Oreochromis niloticus: one gene and its partners. Each later gene encodes a partner of the first gene's protein in a complex. Links are inferred from orthologs where the notes say so. Each region holds a gene or a part of one and is shown in the gene's direction. Other genes may lie near its edges.

Region 1 (8,022 bases):
GTACTCGGCCCTGAAAATCTTAGAAATATGGTATCTAAGCAGATTCTTACTCTGGATGGCATTACCTTGGCCTCCAGTAATGCTGTGAGGAACCTTGGAGTCATTTTTGACCAGGATATATCCTTCAACGAACATATTAAACAAATATGTAAGCCTGCTTTCTTCCATTTGCACAACATCTCTAAAATTAGAAATATCCTGTCTCAGATTGATGCTGAAAAACTAGTTCATGCATTCATTACTTCCAGGCTGGACTACTGTAATTCATTATTATCAGGATGTCCTAAAAACTGCCTGAAAAGTCTTCAGCTAATCCAAAATGCTGCAGCAAGAGTACTGACAGGGACTAGAAAGAGAGAGCAGATTTCTCCTGTTTTGGCTTCCCTTCATTGGCTTCCTGTTAAATCCAGAATTGAATTCAAAATCCTGCTCCTCACATACAAGGTCTTAAATAATCAGGCCCCATCTTATCTTAATGACCTTGTAGTACCATATCACCCTATTAGAGCACTTTGCTCTTGCAGTGCAGGCTTACTTGTTGTTCCTAGAGTATTTAAAAGTAGAATGGGAGGCAGAGCCTTCAGTTTTCAGGCCCCTCTTCTGTGGAACCAGCTTCCAGTTTGGATTCGGGAGACAGACACTATCTCTACTTTCAAGATTAGGCTTAAAACTTTCCTTTTTGCTAAAGCATATAGTTAGGGCTGGACCAGGTGACCCTGAATCCTCCCTTAGTTATGCTGCAATAGACGTAGGCTGCCGGGGATTCCCATGATGCATTGAGTTTTCCCTTTCCAGTCACCTTTCTCACTCACTATGTGTTAATAGACCTCTCTGCATTGAATCATATCTGTTATTAATCTCTGTCTCTCTTCCACAGCATGTCTTTATCCTATTTTCCTTCTCTCACCCCAACCGGTCGCAGCAGATGGCCGCCCCTCCCTGAGCCTGGTTCTGCCGGAGGTTTCTTCCTGTTAAAAGGGAGTTTTTCCTTCCCACTGTCGCCAAAGTGCTTGCTCATAGGGGGTCATATGATTGTTGGGTTTTTCTCTGTATGTATTATTGTGCGATCTACTGTACAATATAAAGCGCCTTGAGGCGACTTCTGTTGCGATTTGGCGCTATATAAATAAAATTGAATTGAATTGAACAAGCTTCTAGGCCTAACACCACGGCAAATTAACTCCTTGTTAGTGATCATGATTGACTACAATTCTTCTTTATGCCTGCATAAGGAGCATTTGTTTGAGAGCACATGTTGGATTGACCAATACTCAGAACAATGGAAACTCCAGGGAACTCAGTGAAGAACAAACAATAAGAACTGTTACACAAGTTAGGAAGGTCTCTTGGAACCACTTCTAAACAACTGCAGGTTTAAAGAGCATTACTTTAAACAACTGTACATAAGTACAAGTTATTAGGATTTGTCACCACTTTGCCCATCTCTGAAAAAAAAAAAAGAAGACCTAAACCATCACCCTCAGAGGAGAAAAAATTGGTTAGGATGTTTATTCAGCAACCCAGGAACCACCAAGGCTCAAGACTGTCTGAAAACCGTAGGAACATCAGCATCACTGTTCACATGAAGTTTTACACCAGTTGGGCTGAGAGGGTGCTGACCAAGAAAGAGAATACCACAAAGACAAGAGGTGTGCTTAGAGCAATAAAGGTGAGGCTATCAACTGAACTGTCAAGCATGGTGGTGGTATCATCATACTCTGGGGCTGTTTTGCTTCCAGTGGTACTGGTACATTGCACAAAGTTGGTGGAATACTAAAGAAGGGAGGAATACCTTCAAATTCACCTAAAATTAACAACTAGATGATTGAAACTTTGAGTCAGTTGGGTCTTCCAAAGGGACAATGATCTCAAAGACACATCAAAACTGGTTTTTGGAATGGATAAAGCAGGCTAAGATTAAGGTTCTGGAGTGGGATTCCCAAACCTCAACCCTATTTAAAAACAAAAACAAACAAACAAATAAAAACTCAACTACCTCTCTTGGCAGAATTGGTAAAATATTCATCTAGAATTATTGCAGAAGCTTGTTTATGGTTACTAAAAACATCTGGTTGAGGTGCAACTTACTAAAGGGAATTTAACAAAACATTAGTAGCCCCACTAATGTAAGGATGTGTGTATATCTGAGCCTGCATCTATACTTTTGACCCTGGGTCGATTAGACAAAATCCAAAATAAATTCAAAACTGTGCACAGACTTCTTGTTTTGTTTTGTTTTTTTAAAACTCAATAAATATGTTTACTGCACAATCATTCCTAGAAAAAGAACAGTTCAAAGTAATCCCTAAATTACCATGGCATTGATACCAATGATGAGTGTATCTAAACTTCTAACCACAACTGTAAGTGCACAGTGACATTCAAATGAAATGGTCCCACCTGACTGCGTGAGGTGTAATAGAGCCCAAGTTGCATTCCGTTGGACCTTTGGATCAAAAGATTTTGCTAAAGCCAAGAGTGGTATGATTCCATCGACCATCAAAGAATCTCGATTTGACTCTGGAAAGAAAGATGAAATAGCAACTATGCACGCAGGGACAATTTTGGAGTGCTAGTGGCCCAAAACAAATTAGCAGAATTTCAGCAAGACAGAGGAGAGGTCATTTCAAGAAGCACATGGAACAAAATAACTACTTTTCTCATAAGTCTTCAGTTCTCTAGCCATTCTCAAAGTCCTGCCATTTATTTTGCAATACATAATAAGTTTTTAAAATTAAGTGTTTGTACTTTCTAAACCGTGTCGAAAAATACTTTAAAAATGAAGGTCTGTACAAACCTGAGGAGGCCAACATGGCAACACAGGCACAGGAGTGACACTGAGCAGTGGGATCACCTGACCGGAACAACTCAATTATGGGCACCAGCATCCCCATTTCTATCACCAATTCTTTACACACTGAAATCAAATTTTATGGATGGCAAATCATAAATAAGCCATTTGTTCCAAAAGACCACGAGCTTTTAGAATCATACTATCAAAATCACTAAAATTCTGGATTAATTAAAAAAAATTATAATAATGTAAATATCTTACTATTATTATCTCTTACCATTATTCTTTACTAACAGATTTACAAGGGCGAGAGAGACAGTCTTTTGAACATCAAGATCAGATGATAAAAGTAGAGCCATGATGGGCTCCATGAAGGCATCTGGTAATGGACAGTTCACTGTAACACACAAAGAAGGCAAAAGTAACACACTTTGAAACTTAAGTCACATTTTTTGCTGTCAGAATGAACAATGTTCGAGTTGAGACCATTTTATAGTAGTTGTATGTCAGTCTTACTTGCAGAAGTTAAATGTTACAAATTTGAATTACATACTTGTAGCTGATTATAAATTCAAAAGATATATCCCTCATAAGTTGTGCTATAACCTCAAGCATCTAAACACAGCAATCTGTCAACTGCCACCAATACACAAAACACCTGGTCACCCATTTATATACTACAGAAAACTGTCTATGCTGTACTGAAAGAAGAAGCCTCAGCTAATATGCACCATTGGGCTCTTGGTTGGCAGATTATAATAAAGCATACTGTGAATTTCACAGTAAAATCCTCTTATTCTTCCTTCTTTGTAACACATGGGTCCATAAGTGGGCGTTTTATCTGCCAGCCTTGGGGGAAAAAAAAATACAGTTGGAAATTTGCATACTGGTCACACCCGTTAGAGAAAATATCTCTGCAGTAACTGATAGAGGCCTATGATGAAACCTGAAGTGCAAACAACAGCTGATCATCTGGAAGTTACTGCTATCAGGAATACTGTCAGATGAAACAAAAACGTGAAATCTTTACTCACGATGATGACTGAGGTGTAGATAATACATGGCTGAAGTCATTTGTAGATCAGTGTTTTCTGAGGTTGCAAGTTTGTTCAGTGTTTGCAGACTTTCCTGGCTGAGAAGTTGAGTTTCGTTGTCTGGGAGGGGGGAAAGAGATTAATTGAATTGATCATATAAACTTGTGTACATCTTTGAAGAGTAATAGCACATGCAGTATGAAAGTTTAAAGAAGTTGTTGTCTAAACGTTTACTTTGATGCTTTTCATTTTTCTAAATAACACAGAGGCCCTCTGCCTCGCTTTTTGTTCCTCTACAGCGATTTCCATAAAAAAAAAATATGCATGGCTGCAATTTTCCTACCACAGTTGAGGCGTAAGGAAGGCAAATCAAAAGCCTTCCTTCTCTCGGATGAAATCCTAAAGCAGTTGCACCGTCCAATCTCTCTGAAAGCTTCCTTTATCTTGAGCTCCAGCTCTCTCCAAGCGCTCCTCAAATGATCCGCAAATTCCTTCAACAACCGCGAGCAGGTGTCACAAAACCCTGAAGCCATGACTGCATCTTGTACAAGGTCCTGACACCTGTCTATTTTACACAACCTGCACGTAGACACGCCTACTGCTGTGTCACGTGACTGCAAGGTAAATTTAGACTCTCGAAAGTATCTTGCTCTTCTAGCTTTAAGGTTTTTGCATCTCTACACAACTTTAAAAGTAAAACTTATCGTGACACTTAATAAAAATTAATATTTAAATATTTTAGGCGTTTCACGGCTGTGCAAGTTTGTGGAATTCTGTAGCCTTCATATTGGGTTGGTAGTATTTTCGTTTGCGTTTCTTTTGTTCTAGGCTACAAATTTATTGTATTCTTTCTTTGTGTGCAAGCCTTTGTGACTGTGATGTAGAACTGTATGATATTCTATGTGAACTGTGTAAAGTGTATATCAGCTTACAAAAAAGTGCAACACGGGTAAAAACATTACATTACTTGAATAAATTAATAGGATACTTCTTCTCTGGCCATTGTATTAATGCAATAACAGATTTTTCTATATTTAAGATTATGATAAACATCAGGCTTTTAGAGGTAGACATAAAATAAGAAGAAAGTGAAGCTAATCATAACAGAAAAAACATGTAAATATATCTCTGTTATGAAATTCTGTCCTCAGCTTTGATTGGTTAATTTGTTGTTTTTGTATGTACGTCAGATTACGTTTCACCGGCTCCGCCTTTCTTTTTCAGCTTTGTTGACTTGGAAACCGTCGAAGCGTTGTTGTTAAAGATGGAGGACAGCACAATCACTGCAGAGTAGATACATGCGCTAACCCTCGGCCAACTCTTCTGCTTCTTATACATACTTTTACGGACTGCTACTGTGGAGCGAGGTTTGTTTTAATACTCAGACTGTTCGTTAAAGCTCCTAAATATTATCTTACCAAATGTAGTAACCCTACAAAGTCAGTGAGCTATCAGAAGCATTTAGCAAGCTAGCTGCTAAAGTGGCTAAGGTTAGTGGTTCACACAAACTGTACTTTTTCCTATACTCTGATTTCAGCAAATTAAACACCATGGGAGACTTAATACGGTTTTGTTTTACTAGAGTGCTAAACGCTTGGCTAGCAAAACATAGCTAACCCAGTAGAGATTTTGTTGTGCAACTTTAACGTCGTTATCCTGTATTTTTAGAATGAGAGTCTTCAGTTTTGGATTATTCTCATTTTGCGCTCGGAAAGAGAAACATCACGCTGTCTAAGAATGCCAGCAGGTAAGTTTCCTGCTGTTCCCTCCTCACTCCAATGGTGGAAGGTTCTTTAAATTAAAGTAGCAATGCCGTTTTTTATCGGCTGCTCCCATTTGGGGTCGCCACAGTACATCATCTGCCTGCATCTCTCCTTATCCCTCTGCATTTCCTCCTTCACTACATTCCCGGATCTTTTCTGTAGTCTTTCTCTTTTCCTCGTGTTTGGTAACTTTATATTTAACATATGTCTAATCTATCCGCTATCCCCTCCTCTGGACATGCCCAAACCCCCTCGGTCTTGTTTCGTTAACTTCGGTAGCGTTTCCAAACTCTTAAACCGGAGCTGTCCCTATGATGTACTCATTTTTAATCCTGTCCATTCTGGTCACTCCCTTAACATTGTTAACATCTTCAACTCCATCACCAGCTCCAGCTCAGATTCCTGTCTTTTTCTTGGTGCCACCATCTCCAAACCATACATCATATTAGGTCTCACTAAAATGTTGCAAACCTTCCCTGTCACGTTGGTGACAGGGTGTCCTTCTTTCCTCTCATATTTATCTCCACCCACTCCACCATGCCTGCACTCTCTTCTTCACCTCACTTGTCCCCTGTCTGTTGCATTGCTACTCTTACTTCTCTTACTTAGTGTGATGCAGTAGTGTAAAAATGCAGTTACAAGTTTTGCAAAATTTTTTTATCAATCTACAGAAGTGTTATCAACAACGTGTAGTTAATCTTATTTATGTTATAAAGTCTAATCTGCATTGTCATGTAATCTATATAAAATGTTCCCTTTTATAGGTGAGAGTGAAGACCGGGCAAAAACCCGGGAAAGATTTAATGAAGTCTTCAAGAAGTACACAGAATCTGAGAAGAAAACGTTGAAAAAGAAAAGCACTGAAACACCGGAGACTATTGTGGTATGTGTTTCTTGTGTTCTATTGATAATTTTACATCAGATGTTGGCAAAAACATATAGAACTTGCAGGACATGTCTTAAAACTATTTCTGAATAGTCCAGAATCCTTGTGGATTCTGCATTTTATGTGAACAAGGCTGTCATGATGCCCCTCTTCCAAAACATACAACATGTCGGACATATTTTAATTGCGGAAGTTTAATAAATAACAAAATAAAAAGATTGTAAGTACTGACACCTCCTTCCCTTTTCCTCTTTAGCTTCAGAATCTAAAAAAAAATCTCAACCTTGAGAAGGACACAGAAGACAATGAGACCATCCTCCAGAACACATATGACCCAGAAGAGGGCAGCCCTCGCTACACAAAGAATAAAAGAAGGGAGAGAGAAATTTCAGAGAAGGTTAATTTTAACAACAATAGAAACCAAGAGGAGATTAAAACATCAAAATCTAAAAGAAAAAGTAAGAGGGACCTTCCCTCTCCTCCTACGCCCGAGGACATCAGAAGTCACATCCAAGAAGATGCAAATGCATCAAGACCTGAAATTCCATTGGATCCAGATGATTCTGTAGGTGGAAAGGCCCCAAAGCAGAAAAATAAAAAGGGAAAAAGCAAAGGAGATACAGAGGCTAAAGAAGCAAGCCAGGTGGAGGACACAGAAGATAACCTATTGCATGAATACCAGCAAAAGATAGTAAAGGAGGAGCAGAGGACTTCAAGGAGGACAAGGGTCAAAGGAGAAGATGAGAGTGCTGTCTCGCAAAGTGTTACGCTTAGCAATGATGTGGGGAAGAAGAAAAAGAAAAAGATGAAATCTGTAGTCACAGATTCAGATCCAGGGTGTGTATAACTATTAGTGTACTATGGAGTTATAATTAGTGATAAGGCAACAGTGTTTGATTTCTTTCTACTTCTTTTTTTGCCTCCAGGGATCAAGATGAAGATACAGACCTGGATGCTGAAGTGGAAAATGAAACAGAATCCAAGGGAAAGAAGAAAAAGAAGAAGAAAAAACATGGTGATTGCACGATAATTCTCAGGATTCATCAAATTCCAGTTAAAGGTGTATAAAGGTGTTGATGGTAATCCATTTCATATTTTGTTTTCTCCCCTTGTAGTTGTCAAAGAACAGAGTGAAGCGGAGTCAGAAGCACCTCAGAAACCAGTTTTTGATGACAACCTTGTTCTTGGAGTGTACATTCACAGAACAGACCGCCTCAAGACCGACTTGATGATTTCACACCCCATGGTGAAGATCCACGTCGTTGATGAAGCCACAGGGCAATATGTGAAGAAAGAAGACTGGTGAGACATTTCTGCGATTAAGTTTAATGTTGTGTTTCAATTTCTGGGCACATTTTTTATTTAGATATTTTTACCTTAAAATAATTGGACCATAGTTATTTGTTTTTATTTGGACCATAGTTATTTTTATTTATAAGCCACTTAACAGTGCCAAAACCTTGGAATTATAACACATTTTGCCTTCAGTTCACATTTTGTTTTTCTTTTTTGTAGTCATCGCCCCGTATCCTCATTTTATGAGCA
Region 2 (5,809 bases), on another chromosome or scaffold:
TTAGGAGACGAGCCGCAGCATTCTGAGCAAGCTGTAATCGTTGGATGTGAGTGAGTTGGAGTCCAGAGTAGAGCGAGTTACAATAATCTAATCTGGAGGTCACAAAGGCATGGAAAAGTTTTTCAAGAACTTTGTACGGTATTAAACGTTTGACCTTAGAAATTTGGTGCAATTGGAAGAAGCCAGATTTAACCACAGAGGAAACCTGTTTATCCAGCTTAAACGAACTATCCAGGAAAACGCCTAGATTACTTACAGTGTCTGTAAGAAAGCAAGCAAAAGGACCAAATCGGGCAGCTAGCTGATCTCGTGGAGTGTGACTATCAAACACCATAATCTCAGTTTTCTTATCATTTAAAATGAGAGAATTGGCTGACAGCCACTCTGTGACCTCTTTCAAGCAGTCACACAACCGATTCAATGAAGCTAGCAGGTCATCAGACAATTGAAAACAGATTTAATAATGTGTTGGTCCCCCTTTTGCTGCCAAAGCAGGTCAGACCTGTTGAGCCATGGACTCCACCATAGCTTTGAAGGTGTGCTATGGTATCTGGCACCAATATGTTAGCAACAGATGCTTTCATTCTTGTAAGATGCGAGGTTAGGCCATTTATGGGATTTATTTGTCCAGCACATCCACCAGATACTGGATTGGATTGGGATCTGGGGAACTTGGAACTTCCTTTTTTTGGACTACTATTGTTAGATACTGAGCAGGAACAGCCCGAAAAAGATGCATTTTGGAAATGATCAGTGTAATTCTCTTTATCTGTCAAAGATCATAATGTGATGCCTGAAGTGTAAATCTATCAAAATGTCCTAATATGATGTATTGTATCGTGTTAAATGTGTGTCTCATACTTGGCACAGCGGACCCAGTTGATGTGCTGGTTGAGAGAGAAGAGGAACTTTTGCCTGTGGGTTGTCCACACTTTAATTGTCTTGTCATCAGAGGCCGTGACCAGAGTCTGTCCATCACCAGAAAAGTTAACACTGCGCACAGTGGCAGTGTGAGCCCTGAATACTGTTGACTCAGCCTTCCTGTATGGACACAAGACATTACTTAAGTTTAAAACAAACAAGCAAAACCCAGAAGGTGTTCAGCAATGTGTGCCTTCCTCCATGCTGGCAGAAGGAGACAAACAACATTCAGTAGTTGCTGCTCTTTATGAGTCACGATCATTGTCCTCTGTAGTAAACCGGTGGTGGAATAAAAAACAGAAAAGACAGAAAGATTTTACTTTAACACCTACATGCTTGGCACCCAAAGACGTACAGTCTTGTCTCTGGAGGCAGAGGCCACCAGATGGCCCGATGGGGAAAAGTGGACGGAAATTACGGCGTCTTTGTGTCCGTCAAAACGATACGCTCGCATCTGAGGTTTCATGTTCCAGATCATCACACGGGAATCCACGGAGCCTGTGGCTAGAAGAGGATGAAGCACAGATGTGAGTGAGAACATCATGTATTTCCAAAAAGGAAAAGACAAAGGCAACAGCAAACAGGCAAACAGATTGTTACCGATTTGTTTCATGTTGCAGCTGAAGTCCACACTTGTTACGGTGTCCCTGTGACCCTTGAAATGTCTTTCTAGGGTTGGATCAGACTATGGGAGCAAACAGAGAGTCATGTCAAAATGTTAAAATGTCATCATGACTACAAAAGCTACAATAATAAGCAATAAGTTAAGACATTTGGGAAACAGAAACTTTGGTACTATTTACTAAGAGATTATCACTGAAGAAGTGCTATTTCTTCCTCATCACGACTATGTGGGTGTATGATGTGACTAAAACTGGCCTGGAAACATGAGCAAAGAACCCCATAGTTATGATTTGTAGCTAAAATAATGAGGTTCTCTGATTTTGCGCAGTTATTCTTTTTCACTCTCTTAAGTCTGTCGGAAAATAACACAGAGTAAATTTCTAACTCTCCATAAAATCGCTAACAACATCCCAACTACACACATAAGGTTTAGAATACACAAGGCACTTCTATGACACCAAAGTAAAGTATGGGTTCACTCAATTAATGCTCTTTCAGCTTTTGATTTTTCAGACATTTCACACCAAATACATAAATAAATAAAGATTAATAAAAATACGCTGTTTTGGTTTTAGGCTCCTAGAACAGGTTCACAGTCACGACTTAGTATGACACGTGAATGGAAACGAGTCTGTGTTTATGTTAGCAGTAACACTTGTGCTGCTAGTCAAAATGTTTACTGTGAAAAGCACCCACTGTGTGTGATACATCTCATTGCAAAACCCATGGCCAATAATATGTTACCATGGCTGCCTCTGCTCTTCTGGGAAAGTTTTCATCAAGATTTTACAAGAAACAGCTATTGACAAATATGTACACAAAAGCATGCAAACCGGGGTTACACCACATTCTGAGGCTCAGCATATTCAGTGACCGAACTGATGCGTTTTGGGATCATTGAAACGGCATACTAGCCCTCCTCACCTCAACCCTCATCTTCTGAACGGAAGCAACCGCTCTAATACGTGAAAATGTGCATAAACATGCTTATTTATTCCAGATATCATTGCAGTTACTTATTGTCATCATTAGCATTTCAAGGCAGTTAATAACGAGGCAACCAAACAACAACAGCTGGTTACAACCTAACATATACCAGCCAGTGTTAGGCTTGAGTGTCTTAAAAATCACAGTTTCCCTTTGATAAACAGTTTGATTACATTCTCACAGTTTAATCACTATCTCAGTCTAACAATGTTCAATCCATTTCAAAGAAAGTTTCACTAATGCCAGCAAGATCCTTGCGAGAAATACACTAACTTGTATGTCAGCTAGATAAAAACAAAAATTATATGTAACAATTTTGTACAGAAATGCAACTTAAATTACATCCTGTAAGTGGTAAAGGTAAATTACCACTTAAGAACGTTTTCAAATAAATGAAATTAAATGTTCCTAGAAGTACAATGTGATCTAAAAGTAGCAGGTTTAAATGTATTTCATTTCTTTGTATCTGGTTCATTTATATGACAACCCGAATATGTTTAGGCTAAAGTTAAAACTAATTAAACTAATTAAACTAATGCACTGACTATAACAGGAAAGCTCTACAACGCATTGTGAGAACAGCTGAGAGGATAGTTGGTGTACCACTCCCCTCCCTGCAAGACATCTACACCACCCGCCTTACCCGCAAAGCCATCACAATTGTCAACGATGCAACCCACCCCGCGCACTGTCTGTTCAGCCTCCTGCCCTCCGGAAAAAGATACAGAAGTCTCCGCTCCCGCATTACCAGGCTCACCAACAGCTTCATCCACCAGGCTGTGAGACTGCTGAACTCTCTCCCCTCCCGGCTCCCAGCCAGCAGAATCACCAGATTGGCAGAACTATAGGAAGACAGACTGGACTCTACCCCCCCCCCACACACACACACACACTCCACAACAAGGAAACACTCTCTACATTCCTGACTGGAAACAACTACCTCTGCATTACAATTGCACACACCTGCTGCTATATATTTTTAGTATTTTTTTTAGCACTATTTATATTATTTATATTACTATTACTGCTGCTACAGTCTTATGCTGCATTAAAACAAAAACACTTACCAACCACAACCTGGGACTACCTCAAGTAGACTAGTACACTACTTTCCAGGGCACACTGTGGAACACTTTATTATATGTTAGGTCCTGTCTTGTTATATCCTGTATGTTACCTAAATGTTGTGCATCTGCACTTTATTGTTGTCTATGTCTATGCAGTGTGAAACGTAATTTCAATTCCTTTGTATGGCAAGTACATCTGAAGAAATTGACAAATAAAACTGACTTTGACTTTGACTTTATGCCTAAACAACTATTCCAAAGTTTAATCCTCCTTTTAACAAATGCGCAGTGACATTTCACGCTACTCCCAAGCTTGGGTTTTTCATAAAATATCATTTCTATCTCTCATTTAAAATATAAGGTAAAATACTGTATACATAAATCCTTTTATATACTGTAAAAAGTCCACCATGGAGTGTAAGACTGGTTTAACTGTGGAGTCTGGGCGCAGTACAGCCGCGTACTGGCGCTGTTTCACAGTGTTCACAGACTCCAAAGACCGATTAAACTTCAGAGAAATCGAGCAATTAAGTAAATTCTTCGTCACGAGTTCATTAAAAAGTATTAATATGAAGGGGTGTTTTAGGTCTTCGACGAACGGGCTTTTATAAACAATGCATGAAAAACAGAAACAACTCGTACTAGGACTAATTTAACCCTGAGTTCAACCTGTAAGGGTGTAGTTCCAAATTCGTGACACCACCGCGTTTTCACCACACACGTTTATTATAGATCAGGAATAATATTGCCAATATTATAATTAGTGAAAATTAATTATTCATTAATGACAAACAACTTTATAAAGGTGAAGCTTTGGGTCTTCATAATGTTGGACGGGATTCGTACCGGAAGTGGTGCCTGCGAGGCCGAACTCAGGGGGTATATGGCTATATAGCAAATCACGGTAGGCGGTTACCAAGGAGACGTTTAGCCGTTAGTTTAGCTAGCCGCTAAGCTAGCCGTTAACATCGGAGAGACAAAACAGGACTTTCCGTGCCACATTTTCTGGTTAAAGAGAACCAGTGTGACATGGCAGAGCTGCACATTATAGGGCAGATCATTGGTGCAAGTGGTTTCCCGGAAAAGACTTTGTTTTGCAAATGGGGAATTCATACGGGAGAAGCATGGCGGCTTTTATCCGGGCTGAAGGAGGGTCAGACCCAGGTGGATAGCCCCCAAATCGGAGACATAGCGTACTGGAGCCACCCGATCGATCTGCACTACGCGACCAAAGGGCTGCAAGGCTGGCCGAAGATTCACCTAGAGGTGTGGCATCAGGATTCTTTCGGACGGTGCCAACTCTATGGTTATGGTTTCTGCCACGTCCCTTCTAGTCCGGGACATCACCGAATAAGCTGTGCGACCTGGAGGCCTGTGGGCTCCTGGCAAGAACGGCTGGCGCAAATGTTCGTCGGCGGAGGTCCCCAGCTCCTCAGCCCTGACCTGATCTACAGCGGGGCGGACAGATACAGACTGCACACCGAAGCCATGGGGACTGTGGAGCTGGAGCTGGGCATCATCACGAGACACTTTGACAAATATGGTGTCGAGTGTTGAGATTTTGAAATGGCAGAAAGACAGAAAATAGAAACTTTTATAGATCATATTTGAGTCACTTGCTTTTAGTAGAATTCTGTACTATTTTTTTTTTCTTAACTACACTATTTTTTACAAACTATATGTAAATAAAGAAAATATTCTCTTACTGAAGTTGGTTTCTTGCTGATTTGTATTTTTAATATAAAAATAATATAAAACTGGCTCTTATTAGCGATATTCCGTGCAACCACGCCTCATTTAATGCTGCTTTCTTAAATGCATTGTTATATTATATTATGTAAAGCCACATTTACTTTTTATTTTGGATTTTAAGTTGTACGACTAACAGGATTGTTACTTGGATTAAGTCATTAATAGCCTGCTACAGATTAGGAGTAGGGGCAAATACTATACTGAAATGTATCATTTTGGTTCCAAGTGTGAGCCATTCACTGGCAGCAAATATTGTTTATCAAAAGATGTAGGAGTTCCCTGCTAGTCTGGCACCAGTCACTACTTTTTAAGAAAATTATAAAATGAGTTATCTTACTTCATATTAACAACAACAACCTCACAAGGAAAGAACTGGAGAGACTTTTAAAGAGTATATTTTTTTTCCTTCAGTTACCAGATACTGTGGTGTATGGTGCATGACTGTATTGCACAGAATA
Region 3 (7,326 bases), on another chromosome or scaffold:
CACTGTCTGTGTCACTGTGGATGAGGACACAGGACCACTAATATTACAGGGTTTCGCTGCTCAATGCCTAGTTTTCCATTTTCAAACACGCAATCGGTTGATCTTCTGTATGCGTTTCCATCTATGGGATGGACTACAGTGTTTCTTCCTTTTGAACATTTTCAAAAGCAGTTTGAGAACTGCTGGATTTTCGATGAACAAAACCGGTTGAGTGGCTAAACTAAAGAAGATATTGCAACGTGGAAAGAGTGCAAAGAGTGCATCGAGGCTACAGAGAAACAACAGAGCAGGAGAAAAACTATAAATCAAACTTACCTTAGATTTGCTACAAAGTAGTCTCTGGTGGATTTGAAGCGTTACTCCCTTTTGCAGCAGTTTTCTTTATGCATGTTCGGCAAAAAATTTTCACACTGCAGACTTAGTCCACTTAAAACACTTGCCATGTTCTAATTTGGTAAGGGTTGGTGGGCAAGCCCAGATTACAAGGTGCAGCTGCACCTGGGGGGCTGTGTTTGATGCAGTTTTAGCTGTTAGTTTAAAAGAAATGCGCAGTTACAGTGTGGTTCATCGTGAAACAGTTTCATCCATATTTAGCCCAGTTGGCCTATATTACCAGTTATGTTTTTACAGCAATTAGCTCCACATTGAGATGGGACTTCAGCTAGACAGTAATATTGTATCTTAACTTAACCTTTACAAACTTCTATCCATCAGGTATATTCTTGAAGTGAGGTATATTCTTTGTTCAGGTGAATATGAATATTCTGTTGGTGTGTCTTTTGCTCTTTTGGTTTCTGTTGCCCCTAAAAGTTGTAGTTCCCATCAATCATTGTAGGTTACCACAGATAGCAATGACTGTATGGCCCAGACTTGACTGCCACAACTCAGCTAACCCGACCATATTAGGGGCAGATGCCAGGTGTGTTGTAGCAACTGGGCCACGGCTGGCCCAAACAACATCTTTGCTGATTTTTTATTGATTGATTTAGTAGCTTGTAGAACCACTTTTAGCAGCAATAACTTAAAGTAATCGGTTTCTTGTACTCTTCCTTACATTCATTCATTGAGGTTTGCGGGAATTCACTCATGCACAGCTCTCTGAAAGTCCATAGCATTTCAATCGGTTTGACTGGACCATTGCAGCTCCTCGATTCCTTTCTTTTTCAGCCATTCTGCACTAGATTTGCTGCTGTGTTTGGGATCATTGTCCTGTTTCATGACCCAATTTGAGCCAAGCTTTAGCCGCCAGACAGATGGTCTCACATTTAACCCGAGAAAACATTTTTTCATGGTGGACACAATGACTGCCAAGTGCCCAGGTTCTGCAGTGCAAAACAAGATCAAATCATCACATCACACTTACTGATAATGAGTTAATCAAGTGCATTTGATTGGCTGCTACTTAACTACTTGATTCATATGGAATATTTGTTAAATAAGCAGTAACATGCTGGTTTCTGTCCTGTTTTTAATTCATCTGAGGTTGTATTTATCTCATTTTAAGATCTTTAAAGGCCCAGAGTTGTATTATGTCTTAAGCAAAACGTTGTACCTTCTTCTTAACGTGAACATGACTTCACATCCTCCCGACTGAAAATGTGGCAGCATGTTGCAAACAGAGAAAATATAGTGGATGATGTTTTCCAATTAATAGTAGTAGCATCTGAATAAACTCAGTGGAACTGCATTACAAATCCAGCTGTTACCATAATGTTGTACAGTTTAATGTTAATTTGGTAAAGTGCTGAGCACATTTCCACTTAATTTAACTAAATACTACTTACCTCTTATATTCGTCTCATATTTGGACATTACGCAGTCGGATATAGTGGAAACACTGCACTCTGTTTATGTGTGTTTGCCATATAATGCATTTAAATGGTAGGCAAACCACAATTGCGCATTTCCATCTTTGTTTGCAGAAACAAGAGTGCCATTTGCTTGACAAAGAACACGGTGTTCATGCACTTAGGGTTACCAATGTGTTCGTCACATATACGCTGTTTATACAGTGTATGCTTGTTGTTGTCATGCACTTTGATTAATGGAAGGGCAGACCTGACATTTGGAAATGGGACTCGTTGGGTTTCATTTAAAGCTCCCAGCCATGCAACAACTAGGTCCTCGATGTAGTTTGATCGTACGTGGTTTGCTTTCAGGGTTTTCTTCCAGAAAAGCTTTCTGCCATGTAGTTTAGTATTTCTATATAATTTTCACTTTTCTGGTGCTGTTGAGGCAATTAAATTATGTGGTTAGATTTAGGAAAATATCATAATTTTTGTGAAAATGCACCCTTTCAAATATCCTTAGACAGAAAACATTTTCCCTCATAACTCACAGATTACTTCAAGCACACTAGTCATTTTTAAGAAAAGGAACATATAAAGTGCTCCATAAATTATTAGAATACCACCCAGTGTAAGTTTCATGCTGTCCTGAATTACCAAACTAATTTCTTCTGTTTCTGCAATGGTTAATTCACCAGTCTGAGCAGGCTCTTTAATAAAAATGAATAAATAATTTTAATGTAAAAATATAATTATTCTTGTATCCATGAACTTCTAAATGAACTGTTCTATAAAAAAGCTGAAAAAATAATAAAGCATGTTAATGTTTTTTTAATTAAGGCACCAAATTACAGTTATTTACTTGCATTTCTGAACAGAAAAATCGGTTTTAGTGCTTGAATCTTATGCTCGATTTATTCATCAATTCTGACACCTCAGAGAAGTCCGGTGTGTCTCACATTTGGGTGGAAAAATGTGAATTCAGTCTGTTAATTACCTAATAAATAATAATGCAATTTTTATTTTGCAACAAGTTTTTGACAGATTTCTAAACCATTTCTGTTTTCTTCTTTTTATGACATATAGTCTAATACATTTATTGAGCACTGCATATGTGCAATAATAGTACAATTTATATATTCTCACTTATGATGACAAGACTTTAAAACTGAAGCAATACATTAAAAATAACACTATATCTCAAATCTAAAAAGGTACTTAGGAAGGTTTAGCTCTTGGAGGTATGTTAGTCTGTGGATTCAAGGCATTTTCCCAGAAAGCCTAACTATTCTAGAGGTAACTATAATATAATCCTATGAACTGAGTATAATTTACAATTTAAAACAGTTTTTAAGACAAACCTTTCCTTTTCTACCGGACATGGGAGCCCTTTTTTGGCCCATCTGGACACTCCTTCTGCTCAGAGGTTGAAATCGGGCTTACGGGATTTAGCCTGGCAACAAAGGGACGATTGTTAGCCTTTTTCATTGTTTATTACTATTGCTATTGTTTTTTCTTTTTTTTTTCTTGACTCCCACGACCACCATAGATGTAGGTACATCTCTGTCCTGTGTATGTATATATGTATATGTTGGTGACTGTTGTTTTCCTGCTTTGCAATTAAAAGTTCAATAAAAAATAAATTAAAAAAAATATAGACAACAGATACTGACTGATTTTTTTAAGATATTACCATATGACATAAGAGCTTTTAAGAGAATAATGCAAGATTTGCTATTATGCCTTCAAATTGACACCTTCTGTCAACATGTAAGCACTATTTTATACAAAAAGATGTATTTTTATTTTAGGAAGTCATTTTAAATGTAGAATTATTGCAATATGTGATTTTTAACAGTAAAGTCAGTCATCAACACAGAGAAACAAGGGGCCTGCAGTCCTAAATGTTGAAATTAACCCCGACATCAGCGTTACAATCTTATATTAGATCTAATAGCACCTACATGATTGTTCAAAATTATCTATAAAATTCATTTAAATTAAAAACAAGTAAGTTTGTAAGTTTAAATTGATGTAAGTTCAAATTCACTGTCGTGTAAATTTTAAACAGTAGAAGAAAAAAAATAGTGCAGATCCAGAAAGTTTTTACATCAAAACCAGTTTTGTTCTACTTCCCCTATGTGCTGGAAGGCTTCTCCTCTTCCTCACTGTTTTTAAACAATGGCTGACAACCAACATATTAAGTTCTGCCATCTTCTGTTCCCAAGAATGGACATGGTAATAAATCCTACCCATAAATCGAAGCCACTGGACACTAATGTGGTAATGCTGTGCTCCTCCATTCCACACTTCCTCTGCTTCCTGATCATATGTTGTGACTCGTGGCCCCACTTAGTACACTATGTGACCGCGCGCATTACCGTCTCCTCAGCCTGATAGTGTTCACTGTTTATATAAAGCTGCAGGATGCTCTCCTGTTACTCAGTGTTTGAGTTTGCTTCTTTATTGGTGTTTGGTACAGTGGCGTCATCTTGTGGACAGTGTGAACATTTCCTCACCGCGTTTACGCGACCGTTCAGTTTGGATGTAGCAGGTTTCCGTAGAGAGGAGGAAAAGCGTCGCCCTAGCAACGGAATGATCAGCAGCAGGATTCTTCTGCAGCGGGTTGAATCTGTCATGAAATAGAAACGCATTCAGCTTCTGGTTTACTAACTAAAGCCGTAATGGCTGCAAGCAACCCATCCGTGTTTCTTCTCACGGTGAACGGACATATTGAGGGAGCGAACGTGCGTGGGCTTTCTGTGTTTTAGCCTAGCCTTGCAGCTGATTGTTCAGCTAGCATTAGCACCCCCTGAGATAGCTTGTGCCATGGATTCGTCTCATTTCTCGGTTCGTTTACCCTTGTGTACAGGTGTTAAGCTGATATCTGTGTTGTATTTCAGTTTCCAGAGTATGACAACTTGTACTGCAAATATTGTTTTGTCTACGGCCACGACTGGGCTCCCACCACGGTGAGTAGCGTGATGCAATATAAAATTACAGTGTTGTGTTTAGTAAAGCCACAATTAGCCTGAAAAGGGGTCATAAAGTCTTTACTAAATAACAAATGGTTAAAGTACAGCCCCTACTGAAAGTTCGTGTGTTTGTTTGTTTTCCTTCTATAGGGGTTGGAGGAAGGCATCACACAAATCGCCAGTAAAAGCAGTCAAGCATCGCACAGGTTGATATGGAACTTCCCACTGGCAACAACATTTAAGAGCACAAATCCATCTGGATGTGAGCATTACACAAACACACTCAAAAACACGTGGTTAATTAGGAACAGTTGCCTTCTGTTGACAAAAATATTAGATCCTTTAGAAGAAGTATAGAGAATGGCAAATTAGTTGCAGTGTGTCTTTGCAGATCAAGAGAAAGTATATGATAGAGTGACAAGAGATGAACTGTAGTACGGACAGACAGCCAACCAAGTATGTGAGAATCAACCGTCCAAAGTGTACAAGAGAGGTGAAAAAGAGTGCAGGCTGGGTGGAGTGGGTGGAGATGAGTGTCAGGGGCGATTTGTGATAGAAGGATAGCAGCATGAGTGAAAGGGAAGGTTTAAAGGATGGTGGTGAGATCTGTTATGATGCATGGTTTGGAGTCTGGGAGTGACCAGGATGGATGGGACTGGAAATTAATATATCAGCGGGACCACTCAGGTTGAGCAGTTTGGAGACAGTTAGACATGGAGGGAGGGAAGGTGGAAATGCTGGACAAAGGATGCTGAATATGGAGCTGTTAGGCAGGAGGAAAATAGGAAGACCACAGAGGAAGATGTTAGATAGGTGAGATTGAGGCAGATGATCTGCTCTGGTGACCCCTAAAGGGAGCAGCTGAAAATAGAAGTAGAAGTAATATCTAAAACTTATTGTAGACAGAGAATTTATGTATTAATTAATGGGTTCATTTTCCAGGGCCTCAGCTCGTGGTGAGTGTTTATGGTCCAGATGTTTTTGGCAACGATGTAGTCAGAGGCTATGGAGCAACACACATCCCCTTCACACCAGGACAGTCAGTACTGCTTTCATTTACTTATCCTTAGGGGTTTTTTTTGGGGGGGGGGGGTTGCCCTACACAAGTACCATTTTCAAATAACTTGTGCTCACCTTTGAGCTATGTCAGAATGTAGACACCACTTGCTTCTTTCAGCAGGAAGAGCGTGAAACAGAAAATAACCTTATTTTTATTCTTCAGGCATACGAAAACCATTCCCATGTTTGTTCCTGAGCCCACATGGAGACTTCAGAAGTTCACAGGGTGAGATGTGTGCTCAGTGTGCAGTCTTCTCGTCTCTCTGCCAGTGGCTCGGGTGGCTTATGATCTCAGAGCAGTACAAAAAAGTTAATGTTCCACCATGTCTATCTGCGCAAGACCTGAGCTAAAGATAGGCTCTTATTACCTGTGTGGTGAGAATAATTAACATTGTTTTCCTGCTTCTGTGATCAGTATGCGGAAAAACACAAAGGTATTCCCACGTTATCTCCTGACAACCTAAGGTTGTGTAACTTTGGTGGCATGCCAAAGTTATGCCATTTGTTGTCCTGACAGTGTAACTGAAATAAAACAGCAGCAGCACACTTTTTAAGGGCTTTTCTTCCTCTTGTTTTAGCCACTTGTATCAAAGTATCAAGTTAAGGTTAAATTGCCTTAAAAAGCCCTCCAGAGTAGACTGAGAAAACGATGTACATCTCAAGCTAAATGCATATTCTTAAGCCAGTTTGTGAACCTTTCTGTGTACGACAATTTTTTTTTTTCCTCTCCTCTGTTCAGGTGGTTGACGGGGCGGCGGCCTGAATACACAGATCCTAAAGTGGTGGCCCAGGGTGAGGGCAGAGAAGGTGTGTGGCTCTTGTCTGCATTTCTTTACTGTCCCAAAACTACCACGTTGTGCTAAAGTCACACCAGGGAAAATGAAAGGAGTCCAGTCTAGTGCGATTAACTTCGTGTTGCTGTTGAAATGGTTGTTTCTCCTATAGCAGTTTTTATTCTAGTGACTGAGCCTTTAGATTCACAGCAGATCAAATTACACAAGTTACTTATTACTCTGCAGCGTATTTTCCAGGCTCTGGACTAAAACAAAAACTCTGTCTTATATTTAATGTTGCAGTGACTAGAGTTCGTTCGCAAGGCTTCGTCTCAGTCTCCTTTCTCATCATGACTAAAGACATGAAGAAGATGGACTATGACACGGGACCATCAGGCCCGGCAAACAAGCCCTCCGCCACATCTGGCTGGTCAACAGAGGAACAACCATAAAACGTGTGGCAACATTAACAGACTGAAGGAAATTTGGGCCAAATAACACGTCTCCTCATGTTACGAGCCCCTGAAGGCGACGTTTTTTCCCCTCACAGTGACAATCCCGTGTTCAACTGAGACACCAGCAACAATGTGCGTATCTGGAAATATTGTGCAGAGATGGAATTATGCTAATGTGCTTTCAGTTATACATTTTGTACCATTTTTGAATTTTTTCACTGTTACTGTATGTTTTTTTTTTTTTAACTTTTCTAACACAAATAAACCACATGTTGAG

What was found.
Region 2: ahi1 (region 1) and b9d2 share a complex: the UniProt entries of both Homo sapiens proteins name them as parts of the tectonic-like complex. The link is inferred for Oreochromis niloticus from reciprocal best matches to the Homo sapiens genes AHI1 and B9D2.
Region 3: ahi1 (region 1) and b9d1 share a complex: the UniProt entries of both Homo sapiens proteins name them as parts of the tectonic-like complex. The link is inferred for Oreochromis niloticus from reciprocal best matches to the Homo sapiens genes AHI1 and B9D1.

The regions. Positions count from the first base shown.
Region 1 is NC_031983.2:20,286,118-20,294,139, forward strand, and holds the start of ahi1 (jouberin), read left to right. Parts: upstream 1-5,022; 5' UTR 5,023-5,195; exon of another isoform or gene 5,196-5,318; intron 5,319-5,496; 5' UTR 5,497-5,565; coding exon 5,566-5,575; intron 5,576-6,355; coding exon 6,356-6,474; intron 6,475-6,733; coding exon 6,734-7,314; intron 7,315-7,403; coding exon 7,404-7,492; intron 7,493-7,592; coding exon 7,593-7,779; intron 7,780-7,992; coding exon 7,993-8,022. Other genes in the region: vacuolar protein 8, read right to left, coding at 2,401-2,520, 2,798-2,917, 3,072-3,191, 3,829-3,948, 4,172-4,361. UniProt on the Homo sapiens protein: Involved in vesicle trafficking and required for ciliogenesis, formation of primary non-motile cilium, and recruitment of RAB8A to the basal body of primary cilium.
Region 2 is NC_031970.2:19,646,304-19,652,112, forward strand, and holds b9d2 (B9 domain-containing protein 2), read left to right. Parts: upstream 1-4,414; 5' UTR 4,415-4,628; coding exon 4,629-5,156; 3' UTR 5,157-5,309; downstream 5,310-5,809. Other genes in the region: poc1a (POC1 centriolar protein homolog A), read right to left, coding at 862-1,041, 1,254-1,425, 1,522-1,606. UniProt on the Homo sapiens protein: Component of the tectonic-like complex, a complex localized at the transition zone of primary cilia and acting as a barrier that prevents diffusion of transmembrane proteins between the cilia and plasma membranes.
Region 3 is NC_031969.2:13,172,042-13,179,367, forward strand, and holds the start of b9d1 (B9 domain-containing protein 1), read left to right. Parts: upstream 1-4,326; 5' UTR 4,327-4,471; coding exon 4,472-4,534; intron 4,535-4,690; coding exon 4,691-4,759; intron 4,760-4,912; coding exon 4,913-5,024; intron 5,025-5,704; coding exon 5,705-5,801; intron 5,802-5,984; coding exon 5,985-6,047; intron 6,048-6,560; coding exon 6,561-6,628; intron 6,629-6,897; coding exon 6,898-7,046; 3' UTR 7,047-7,326. UniProt on the Homo sapiens protein: Component of the tectonic-like complex, a complex localized at the transition zone of primary cilia and acting as a barrier that prevents diffusion of transmembrane proteins between the cilia and plasma membranes.